Linked DNA regions of Oryctolagus cuniculus. The protein of the gene in region 2 purifies or fractionates together with the protein of the main gene of each other region. This does not show direct contact. Links are inferred from orthologs where the notes say so. Each region holds a gene or a part of one and is shown on either strand. Other genes may lie near its edges.

Region 1 (3,647 bases), on a different chromosome or scaffold from region 2:
GCTGGCTGTACACCAGGTCCTCCTGCTGGTTGTAGGCGTGGGTGTTGATGATGTTGAGGTTGCGCAGAGATTGGCTCTGGCTGTCCGCGTGCACAATGCCCCTCTTCATCTGCCGCATGACCGTCTCATAATCGGGGGTGGGCCTGTAAGACGGCACAATGATGGCGCTGTGCCGGTGGCTGGGGATGTAGTCAGCTCGCATGATGTCACTCCCAGGGATGCTGAGGTTGGAGGAGACAGGTGAAGCCTGGATGAAACTCTGGGAGCAGTTGAGGGAGTTGATGCTGTGAACGCTACACACGCTGCCATTGGTGACGGTGCCATTTAAATAATTTAAGTCCAGGCTGTTGTGAGAGTTGCAATACAAGGCTTCTTCATTCCCATGAAAGATGCTGTCTGCAAGAGGTCAAACAAAAGCACGTTAACCTTTGGGTCATCCTGTTTTAATAAAGTCCATCCTTACATTCATGGGGAGACTTAAATGAGTCATAAAGTATAAAATCCCAGGGTGTCCACACACATACTCCATAGAAAAACCAAAAGTATCTCAGACGAGATGCCAGCATATGGGAAGAACATTCTAGAGCATGATGAAGAGAAATCCTGAACGTAAACAAAGCTATGCAGATTTGGAACAGGTATCGTCTGGGTAAGTTTTCAATTTAGCCATGAGCTTTCAAATCAGGCATTCACAACAGGCCTCACATCGGATGGACCTGTCCTCCTGCACAGGGCTCATCAACAGCCCTAGAGGTTTGGCCAGGAAGGCAAGAACTTTAAAAGACAGATAGATTAGGGGCCAGCGTTGTGCCATAGTCCAGTGTTGCGATGTAGTAGGTAAAGCCACTGCCTGTGGCACCAGCATCCCATACAGTGCCAGTTCAAATCCTGGCTGCTCCAATCCAGCTCCCTGCTGATGGCCTGGGAAAGCAACTGAAGATGGCCCAAGTACTTGGGCCCCTGTATCCATGTGGGAGACCCACAAGAAGTTCCTGGCTTCCGGCTCCCGACTTTGGATCAGCCCACTTCCAGCCATTGCAGCCATTTGGGGAGTGAACCAGCAGATAGAAGATCTTGTTCTCTCTCTCTCTCTCTCTCTCTCTCTCTCTCTCTGTAACTCTGCCTTTCAAACAAAATAAATCTTACAAAAAAAAGTGATAGATTTGAGGTTTCAGAGTATGTGGAGCTGCTTTTCTGGCGGCAATGCTCAAGGTCTCTTTACCTGAGAGGCTGCGACCTCAAGAAGGCAGAAGACACACAATGAAGCAAGAACAACTGCATGGCTAGCTCATTCTGAGCGGCACCCAGGGCAAGCAACAGTCAGATCTGCAGTTCCGGCCGGGTGCTACAGCACAGTGGGGGAAGCTGCTGCTTGCGATGCCCACTGCCTATTCTGCCCTGCCTGCTGCACCTCCAATTCAGCTCCCTGCTAATGTACCCAGGAGGCGCCAGATACAGCTCAGGTATTTGAATTCCTGCCAGCTCTGTGGCAGACCTGGATGGAGTTCCTGGCTCCTGGATTCAGCCAGGCCCAGCCCTGGCTATTGTGGCCATTTGAGGAGTGAAAGCTGAAGGAAGGTCTCCCCCTCCCACCACCCCTGTCTCCATCTCTTTCTTTCTTTGTGTCACTCTGCCTTTTACATAAATAAATCTTTAAAAAAAAATCAGGAATTCTTTTAGCCACTCCCAAAATCCTCCTCTAGACCTAGTTTCATCACTGAGGTCCATCCAAATAAATACTAATTATAAAGAAGAAACTAAAGAGATTAAAAACGTATTTCTAAAGTGAGGTCATTCTAATTGTGCAGAGTCCTTTACACACACACACACACACACACACACACACTTGAGAAAGGCAACCTCTTGACAAAACACACTTCTGTACCCAAAATACATTCATTTTCTCACTATAGATTTAAGAATTAGCCAAGCAGAGGAAGATGAAAACAGAAAAGGTAAAAAGTAGAAATCATGATTAAAAGTATTCAACTGTCGGGGGCCAGCACTGTGGCGCAGCGGGGTAAAGCCCTGGCCTGAAGCGCCAGTATCCCATATGGGCGCTGGTTCTAGTCCTGGCTGCTCCTCTTCTAATCCAGCTCTCTGCTGTGGCCTGGGAAAGCATTAGAGGATGGCCCAAGTTCTTGGGCCCCTGCACCCATGTGGGAGAGCTGGAAGAAGCTCCTGGCTCCTGGCTTCAGATTGGCACCAGCTCCAGACATTGCGGCCATCTGGGGAGTGAACCAGCAGATGGAAGACCTCTCTCTTTGTCTCTACCTCTCTCTGTAACTCTCTTTTAAATAAATAAACTAATAAAAAAATTCAACTGTCTGAAGAGGAGGGGTATGAACAGATCTGATCAGATGAGAAAGGGGGGAAAAAAAGCAAAAAGCAAAAAGAAACAAACCAGGATACAAGCAGGTTGCAATTTATGCACTTCCAATGGGATTTACCCTCCCCTAGAGGCAGGGTAACTTTGCTATCTGCTTTTTTTTAAAAAAAAGTAGTTTTATTCAATGAAAAAGTCTTGATTGTCTTGTTTTTTTCAAGCTCACACTTTGTGTCACAGGATTCCATCCAGCCAGGAGACAATGGAGATACCAGGGCTCCAGGTTATAATACATTAGTGGTTTCCTACCATCTCATCCTTTGAGATGCCCATTTTCACATCCAAGTTCTACCAGCAACCTCTCTGTACCCCAATTCTGTATCTGTAAGCTGGAAATAATCACAGGTTGATTTTGAGGAATAAATGAGTCAACAGATAGCAAGGACTTAGAACAGTGCCTCACACATCATGATTGTTCTATAAGCAATCATTATAATGGTGATTACTATTGGAATGGGCTTTTTCACACATTTTGCTTAAGAGAGAAGAGGACTAAAACAAAGTTTCTTTACTCTGAGAAGCAACCAGTTAAGTACCTTAAGAAAGGGGCTAGAGGAAGAGAAGAGGAAAAAAAAAAAAAGCAAAAGAAAGGGCCGAGATGGATTTTTTTTTTTTAATTTTAAGAGACAGAGAGCTCTCATCTGCTAGTTTGCTCCCCTAAATGCCTACAACAGCCAGAACTGAGCCAGGCCAAAGCCAGGGGCCAGGAACTCAGCCTGGGTTTCCCACATGGGTGGCAGGAATGCTAGTCCTTGAGCCATGGTTTGCTGCCTCCCGGGGTGCACATTAGCAGGAAGCTAGAATTGCAAGCGGAACTGAGACCCACAGCAGACCCTCCAATATGGGATATGGGCATCCCAAATGGTATCTTAACACCACTCCAGAGACCATGAACGACTTCTGGTCATGCCAGATGCCTGTATCCCCTGTCTCCACGGAAAGCTGACTGACATCTACAAGCTTCTGATACTGGCCCTGCAGGTGATGTCTCCCAGTCAGCCACACTGCCACCCTCCTCTCTAAGCCCACAGAAGAGAGGGAGGAGGAAAGAAGTCCTTCATCACCTCAGCCCTGACTCCCCCTGCAGTGAATTCCGGGCAGGGTTGTCTCCAGGGGTAACCGACACGTAGGCCCTTCACAAACCAAAGCCGTTGGCCCCCATTCAGACAGTGACAAGGTTACAACGCAAGCACCGCCGTCACCTGAAGAAGGGCAAGCGGAGTTACCTTGTGAGGTGTGTGTTTCCGAGTAGTGCTCGCCA
Region 2 (4,202 bases):
TGGTCTCCCATGGGGTGCAGGGCCCAAGCACTTGGGTCATCCTCCACTGCACTCCTGGGCCACAGCAGAGAGATGAGTTGTATCCTAAACAGAGTGATCGTGAAAGGCTTTGCTGTGTGACAGCTAAGCAAACATCTGAGAGAGAGAGGGTGGGAAGTGGTCGTTACTGTCTCACTATATGGGGAAAGAGCTTTTCAGGCACTGGGAGAAGCAAGTCCAAAGGTCCTGAGGCCAGAGTGGCCAAAGGGCAGAGTGGGGGTGAGAGAAGAGAAATAAGAAGGGACTGTGGGGAGGGGAACCATGCGGGTGACCACCTATATTTCTAGCTTTCACTGCTTAATGCACCCTGCATGCTTTTTACTTAGTCCTCTTGCTCTTTGGTGAACACTTACTGAAAGCCCACCCCACAAGGAAGCCTTTCCTCACTCCTCTAAAGCAGAATTAGGAAAACGCCCGACAATGAAATTGGAGAAGCGTCAGTTTCGTGGCAGGGTTTAACAGGTTTAACGAATTAAGAGATGGCTGTATATTATTGAAAGGCAAGGGACTGAGTTCAACCAATTTCATTTGTGTGCATGATTGGATCCATCCAAATGCTAAGGCTCCCCCCACCCAAAAAAAAAAACAAAACGGGGTAATTAGGTTGCTAGTATTAATTTTAACCAATGGTAATTAAAAGTGAAAAACAGTCTTCATCCAACTTGTCAAAGCTGAGGCCCTGCGCCGTTAGTAAGGGATGTTGACATAAAATGTTCTTGCTAAGTTGTATGCACCTGCAGATGAAGGGAACAGGGGTTGGCTGGGCGTGATAGGGGGCATTTTATGCCCCCAGGCAGGGGCTTCGAAGCTGTTCTACTTCATGTCCCAGATGTTCCACGACGGACAGGTCTGTTGCTTCTACAGTCTAGAACCGCGCCTGGCACGTGGCAGGCATTGAGTCACCAGGATTATCAAACACAAATACAAGCGGCACAATCCAATGTGATTTTCAGATAATCTTAGTATAAATATATCCCATGTAGGATATTGGGCAGACACGGTTGTTTACCCGAAACTGAAATTTATCTGAGATTTCACTTTAATAACTTTATTAACCCCACTAAGGAGCTCAAATACTCGTGATTTGTTTGACCCAATTGAAAGAGGATCTCCTCGCACCTGTAAAATGGGTCTAAATCACAGCACGCGCCTCCCTAGCGTTGCTGGGCAGATAAAGCCAGCACGTGGCACCTGGCGAGCCCTCAGTTTATACGACTGCTGGGAAACAAATTCATGAGCGGCAAAAGTTTCGCCTTATACACACGGCCACAGGACCCGGGCCTCTTCGAGGCCAAAAGCTCGCAGGCCAGGCCTAGGTTGCCGGCACCTGAGAGCCCGGCCAGCCTCTTCCGGGTCAGGTGACCGCGCGCGGCCACGTGACCCGGCCCGAGTGCGGGCGGTGGAAGGCGGAAGTGGGAGAGGAGTTGGGCGCCGCTTCTGGGGCCGGGGCAGGTAGCGAGCGCGGGCGCGGCGGGCGCGGCGGGCGGGCGCGGGGCGCGGAGCGGGCCGGGGGCGGCGGGCGGCGCGCGGTGGGCTGGGGGCGGCGCGGCCCGGGCGCCGGGGGGCGGCGGCTTCCTGTGGGAGGGGCCTGGCGCGGCGGTTCCGGCCTCCGAGGAGGGGTGTCCCGGCTCCCGCCCGAGCGGGGTGGGCGCGACGCGGCCCGCGTGGGGCCGCTCCGAGGTGGCCGGCCGGGAGCCGGTGCTTCCGGGAGCGGCGCGGCGCGTTGGTGCCGGGGGGCTGGAGGGACAGGCATCGCGATCTCTGTGGAGGGAGCAGGGGAAGGGCGAGTTGGGACGGAGCTGGGAAGGGGGTGCCGAGATGGACATAGGGCGGGCAGGGCAGGGGAGCAGCCCGGGAGATGCCGCCTGAGCCCCACTGAGGGCGTCTTCCCCGCTGCGTCTTTGGCAGCGATGTTTCCCCGAGACTTGATTTCGGGCTCAGTCCATCTTTAAACTTCAGGAGGGATCACAGAATCTTGGTCGTCTTGCTCTCGTCACACCCACTTAGTCCCGCGGGCGTCGGGTTTCCACTTCTTGGGAACCTAACCCTTCAGGATCGCCTTTCTTTGGGGCTTTTCCCCCTTGATCAAGTCGTCTTCGAGGCTGAAGACAGAAAGCGTGGGCGCTCTGCTGTGGCTGCAGGAAGGTTTCAGCCTACGCTCTTGACCATGACCTAGCCCAGCACCGCCTCGGCCGGAACACCGGCTAGAGGACCGTGTACCTGTGTGCTAACGACTTCGGGTCTGGCTGTGGTTTAAATTATTCAGCTTCCCTTACCACGTGACTGCTTATCTTGACCAGCTGTAGCTAGGTAGAAGTCTGTGTCCTGTGCCTTAGAACTATGACCTGGCGCCTGATGTTGAGATTAAATACCCATGTCACAGCTGTTCATCTTCCTCTTTCTGTAAATGTTCACTGAATGTTTTGCAGAAGTGAGTCTCATGCGTGCACACACAAGAGCCAGAGTCGTTCAGGGTTACAAGTTAGAGAACAAAAGGACTTTACTAAATGTATGAGGTGTTCAGGTTTTTGAAGTGTTTGATGAGCATTTAGAAGTTAATTTTTGCAGCAGCCCTGTGATTTAGATGGGGAAAGGTCTTTTTTCCACGTCATGAGAAACAGACAGACTTAAAGGAGTCTTGACTTTTAAAACCAATGTGTTCTTTCTTGTTTACTGGTCTCTTCCTGCTGGACGTAAGAATCTTCAAGGGCAGATACCGTGTTTTATTTGGCTTCTTTGACCACTAGCCAAGTGCCTGGCATGTTGTGGGCACTTGGTCAGTGTTTGGCAATAAATGAATTTCTAAAGTCATACAGCTGTTAAGTGTTGGGCAAGGGATTTGAACCCAAGTCTTGGGTCTCTAGTAGGCAAGCTGCTGTTTTCTGTGCTGCTGGTCTATGTGAACATGATAGGCATAAAAGAAGGGCTTGGATCGGCTTCTCATCACTTAATGAGTACTTTCTCCTTTACCAGGAGCGTACGCCCACGTCTCATTTAATCCTCTCGGAGATCTTCTGAAGGCTGGGGTTGTCCCTGTCCCGCAGATGCAGAGACTGAGGCTTGCTGAAGCCCTTGCCTTCGATTCCAGAGCTAGTACATGACCCAGCAGCCACTCAGGCCCACACCTTCTGTTTCCAGACCATCCTTTTCCATTTATAGAAGTGATAGAAAGTTTTATTGAAAAAAGTTTTTTTTTTTTTTTTTTTTTTTTTTTGACAGGCAGAGTGGACAGTGAGAGAGAGAGACAGAGAGAAAGATCTTCCTTTGCCGTTGGTTCACCCTCCAATGGCCGCCGTGGCCAGCGCGCTGCGGCCGGCGCACCGCGCTGATCCGATGGCAGGAGCCAGGAGCCAGGTACTTTTCCTGGTCTCCCATGGGGTGCAGGGCCCAAGCACCTGGGCCATCCTCCACTGCACTCCCTGGCCACAGCAGAGAGCTGGCCTGGAAGAGGGGCGATCAGGACAGAATCCGGCGCCCCAACTGGGACTAGAACCCGGTGTGCCGGCACCGCTAGGCGGAGGATTAGCCTAGTGAGCCGCGGCGCCGGCCTGAAAAAAGTTTTTAAAGTACAAAAAGTATGATGCTTTAAAGAAAACATACTACGAATTAGAGAAAAAATTGTCCATGTGCAGTGTAACTGAGGACTAGAAAACCCGCTACTGCAGTGTCTTAGTCTGTGTGGTGCTGCTTAACTATACCATGGACTGGGTCGTTTGTAAGTGAGAGAAGTTTATTTGAATCATGGTCTGTAGGCAGGGAAGCCCAAGAGTTGAGGGACTGTGTCTGATGAGGGCCTTCTTGCTGTGTTGTAACACGGTGGAGGGCATCACATGGAGAGAGAGAGAGAGAGAGAGAACGAGAGAACATAAACACTAAACTGCTTTTCCAACAAACCTGTTCTTGCAGTAATGACATTAATCTACCCGTGAAGGCACGGCCCCCATAACCTAACCGCCTTTTAAAGGATCCCCCTCTCATCACCTGCACTGGGGGTTAAGCTTCTGACACAGGACCTTTGGGGAACACATTCAGCCACAGCATTGCCATGGCTGCCTCTTCCCAGGACAGTGCTCCTCCCACCAGTATTGCAGGGACCTGTTCCATGCCAGGCAGTTTCTAGAGTTGCAAGTAGCCTCATGGTGCTGGTGAGCCCTGGAGATACG
Region 3 (3,647 bases), on a different chromosome or scaffold from region 2:
TTTAATTTTTTTTATTTTTTATTTTTTGACAGGCAGAGTGGACAGTGAGAGAGAGAGAGACAGAGAGAAAGGTCTTCCTTTTGCCGTTGGTTCACCCTTCAATGGCCGCCGCGGCCGGCGTGCTGCGGCCGGCGCACCGCACTGATCTGATGGCAGGAGCCAGGAGCCAGGTGCTTTTCCTGGTCTCCCATGGGGTGCAGGGCCCAAGCACCTGGGCCATCCTCCACTGCACTCCCTGGCCACAGCAGAGAGCTGGCTTGGAAGAGGGGCAACCGGGACAGAATCCGGCGCCCCGACCAGGACTAGAACCCGGTGTGCCGGCGCTGCTAGGCGGAGGATTAGCCTAGTGAGCCGCGGCGCCGGCCTCAAATAAATAAATCTTTTTAAAAAAAGTTTAAAGCTTTTTTTTTTTTTTTTAAAGGAAAGTTCCCTGAGAAGGTCTCATTTGTATTTTAAGACGAATTCCTTCAGTTAGATCATCAAAGTGGTTCCTATCTAAGCAGTCGGGAGTGTGTGAAATGAGAAGGAAGAGATGGAGGGTTACAATGAAGGCAGGATAAAGAAGGTCCATTGTGGTGGGCAGTTCTGAAAGAGGCAAGATTTAACAACGCCAGAACTGTGAGTTCACCTGCTTATCTACATAGGAGCGGACTAAGTATAGGCTGGATAGGAGGGGATTTCATGGAAGAGGCAGAGGATGAGGGTGTTCACAGTGCATCAGTGCAGTGGTGGGGTCCAAGTAAACTGCCACTTATCAAGAAGAACATGTGAGATGGCTTGAGCTAGAGGATGAAACTGAGAGTGGGGAGTTTCCTGGATTGCAAGAACCAGAACTGCAAGAGCCTGAAAAGGAGGAATAGCTACCAGGATGGGACGCAGAATACGAGCGTAGACAGCGAGTGGCTGAGGCAGCTAAGAACAGAGGGAGACCATGTTCTTCCTAATGAGCCCCTGGTTTTTAAAATTTCTAGTATGAAAAATGCATCTACATAGGCAAAACTAAAGTAAAACACAATCCAACTCACCACTCTGGTTGACAGCTTGTTTTAAATATGGTGGTTAAACTTTCGAGGTCTTCATTCTTTAAATGTAATTCATCCAGCAGGGTGGCTATAAACTGTGTGAACACCGCATTTTCCCGTGAATGCTTCTGAATGCCAAGAATCGGGGCCAGTCTGAAACAATCAAAACACAAGGCACATATCTGTGAAATGCGATGGGCTAAGGACTCTCACATTCACCAGGGCACAGAGATTTTGTGAGGATAATGGGGTCTTTGTGAGTCAACAAAATCCCCAGAGGAAAAATAGGCAGCAGAGAAGTCTCAGGAAAATATCAAAAGATTAAACATTGGGGCCGGCGCCACGGCTTACTAGGCTAATCCTCCGCCTAGCGGCGCCGGCACACCGGGTTCTAGTCCCGGTCGGGGTGCCGGATTCTGTCCTGGTTGCCCCTCTTCCAGGCCAGCTCTCTGCTGTGGCCAGGGAGTGCAGTGGAGGATGGCCCAGGTGCTTGGGCCCTGCACCCCATCGGAGACCAGGAAAAGCACCTGGCTCCTGGCTCCTGCCATCGGATCAGTGCGGTGCGCCGGCCGCAGCACGCCGGCCGCGGCGGCCATTGGAGGGTGAACCAACGGCAAAAGGAAGACCTTTCTCTCTGTCTCTCTCTCTCACTGTCCACTCTGCCTGTCAAAATAAATAAATAAATAAATAAATTAAAAAAAGATTAAACATTATTAAGTATGGAAAAAAGTCCAAAAGCCTGTATCTATGACATGTTCTTCATCATGGCAGCAAAAGCTATTAAAACTCTGCTCAGAAGGGAAAATTAATGAACTCATTCCACTTGAGGAAGAGTGGTGTGGAGAGGCACTTAGAGCTGAGAATTATTTTAAAAATATAATTTATATGGAATTATTTATGTTATTTACATTGATTATGTCACTTGGAAAAAAGCATTCAATAAACAAAGATCACCTTTCAATATTTATATTTTTATTTATTTAAAACATTTAAAATTTATTTTCATTTTTCTTCAAAGGTCAGGGCCCCCCCACCCCCACCCCATACCCACGGAGGGGAAGAGAGAGAGAAAACTGATCAGCCTTCCATCAGCTGGTTCAGTCCTCAAGTGCCCTCCAGCAGGGGCTAGACTAGGTCAAAGCCAGAAACCTGGAACTCAATATGGGTCTCCTACATAGTTGGCAGGGACCCAAGTACTTGAGCCATCACCTGTTGCCTCCTGGCTATGCATTAACAGGAAGCTGGAATGGAAGTGGAGCCAGGCACTCTGAAATAGGATATAGGCATACCAAGTACGCCTTAACTGCTGAGCCACATGCCTGTCCCCTAATATTTTTATTTTTGAAACACTACGTAAATGAATGACATCTCACAAGGTATTTAATACCAACTTCATAAGAAACAATGTGCTTTTTTTTTCTCTAATAATTTCCAGTAAATACCTATAAAGAATGAATGACTGGGGCTGGCACTTTGGTGTAGTGGGTAAAGCTGCCACCTGCAGTGCCAGCATCCCACATGGGTGCTGGTTCAAGTCCTGGCTGCTCCTCTTCCAATCCAGCTCTCTGCTATGGCCCAAGTCCTTCAGCCCCTGCACCCTCGTGGGAGATCCTGAGGAAGCTCCTGGTTCCTGGCTTTGGATCAGTGCTGCGCCGGCCATTGCAGCCATCTGGGGAGTGAACCAGCAGATGGAAAACCTCTCTCTCTCTCTGCCTCTCTGTCTCTAACTCTGATTTTCAAATAAATAAATAAATAAATAAATCTTTTTAAAAGAATGACTGACTGCCTATAATAGAATCTTAAAAGTAATTTTCCTTGAAATGTGATTAGTCAACATGATCTCCTGTAAGTCAGCAATATATAGCCTAATTAGAAAGATTAAAGACCATTTTGTCTCTATAGAGAGTATGCTTTGTAGAGTCCTTGCAAGGTACATTCTTGGAAAACTTCTTGGGAAAAATTCTTTCCCCCCAAATAGTCTTACACTTCCCACAACTCTTTCAGATGCATATTTAACCTAAGCCATTGCCGCTGTATAATATATTGTATAATATTGTATAATATATTGATGTATAACATCAATAAAAAGCTCAAGGAATCAGAGCAAGTCAGTTCTGCAGTAGTGAGTGTGGAATGGGAAACGGTTTCTGAGGGGAAGATTTATTTCTTCCTTGCTTAGCCATCTTATATAGAAGGCAGAAGTAAGAGGAAAATTTTGTCAGAATTGTCCAAAGATGGCTAGGACACTGGTAAATTCTCTTTATCCTTACAGGTATCTTAGCAAGAACTAGAGAGTAGGTGATGCCAATAATAGTTTGGTGAAATCTACAGAGTTCAATTTGGGAAGATCACTTGTAGTGCATTCCTTCCCTCATCTTCCTGTATGGATGACAGCTAGGGAAGGGAGTGCCAAGCTCCTACACTTCATCAGCTTTGTCTGCAGACAGTTAATACTGGCAAACAGGACTACTCCAATCTCCCAATGGTCAGCCCAAGCTAGGTACTCAGGTGAACTTAGTGCTGGTCAGCTTTTCCTGAGGCATCTTCCTACAGAGAAGGTGGAACGTCGAGGCCAACTCTGTTTTTTCTCAAATTTAGGTAAAGTCAATATTCAAAATATAAGTT

The links.
Region 1: the proteins of WWP2 (region 2) and PTPN14 purify together in Homo sapiens (affinity purification with mass spectrometry; 3 studies listed by BioGRID). This does not show direct contact. The link is inferred for Oryctolagus cuniculus from reciprocal best matches to the Homo sapiens genes WWP2 and PTPN14.
Region 3: the proteins of WWP2 (region 2) and RPAP2 purify together in Homo sapiens (affinity purification with mass spectrometry; 3 studies listed by BioGRID and IntAct, with this or other methods). This does not show direct contact. The link is inferred for Oryctolagus cuniculus from reciprocal best matches to the Homo sapiens genes WWP2 and RPAP2.

Annotation. Positions count from the first base shown.
Region 1 is NC_091444.1:28,672,283-28,675,929, forward strand, and holds part of PTPN14 (tyrosine-protein phosphatase non-receptor type 14), read right to left. Parts: coding exon 3,613-3,647; intron 397-3,612; coding exon 1-396. UniProt on the Homo sapiens protein: Protein tyrosine phosphatase which may play a role in the regulation of lymphangiogenesis, cell-cell adhesion, cell-matrix adhesion, cell migration, cell growth and also regulates TGF-beta gene expression, thereby modulating epithelial-mesenchymal transition.
Region 2 is NC_091449.1:52,876,777-52,880,978, forward strand, and holds the start of WWP2 (NEDD4-like E3 ubiquitin-protein ligase WWP2), read left to right. Parts: upstream 1-1,355; 5' UTR 1,356-1,491; intron 1,492-4,202. UniProt on the Homo sapiens protein: E3 ubiquitin-protein ligase which accepts ubiquitin from an E2 ubiquitin-conjugating enzyme in the form of a thioester and then directly transfers the ubiquitin to targeted substrates.
Region 3 is NC_091438.1:78,238,520-78,242,166, forward strand, and holds part of RPAP2 (putative RNA polymerase II subunit B1 CTD phosphatase RPAP2), read right to left. Parts: intron 1,176-3,647; coding exon 1,026-1,175; intron 1-1,025.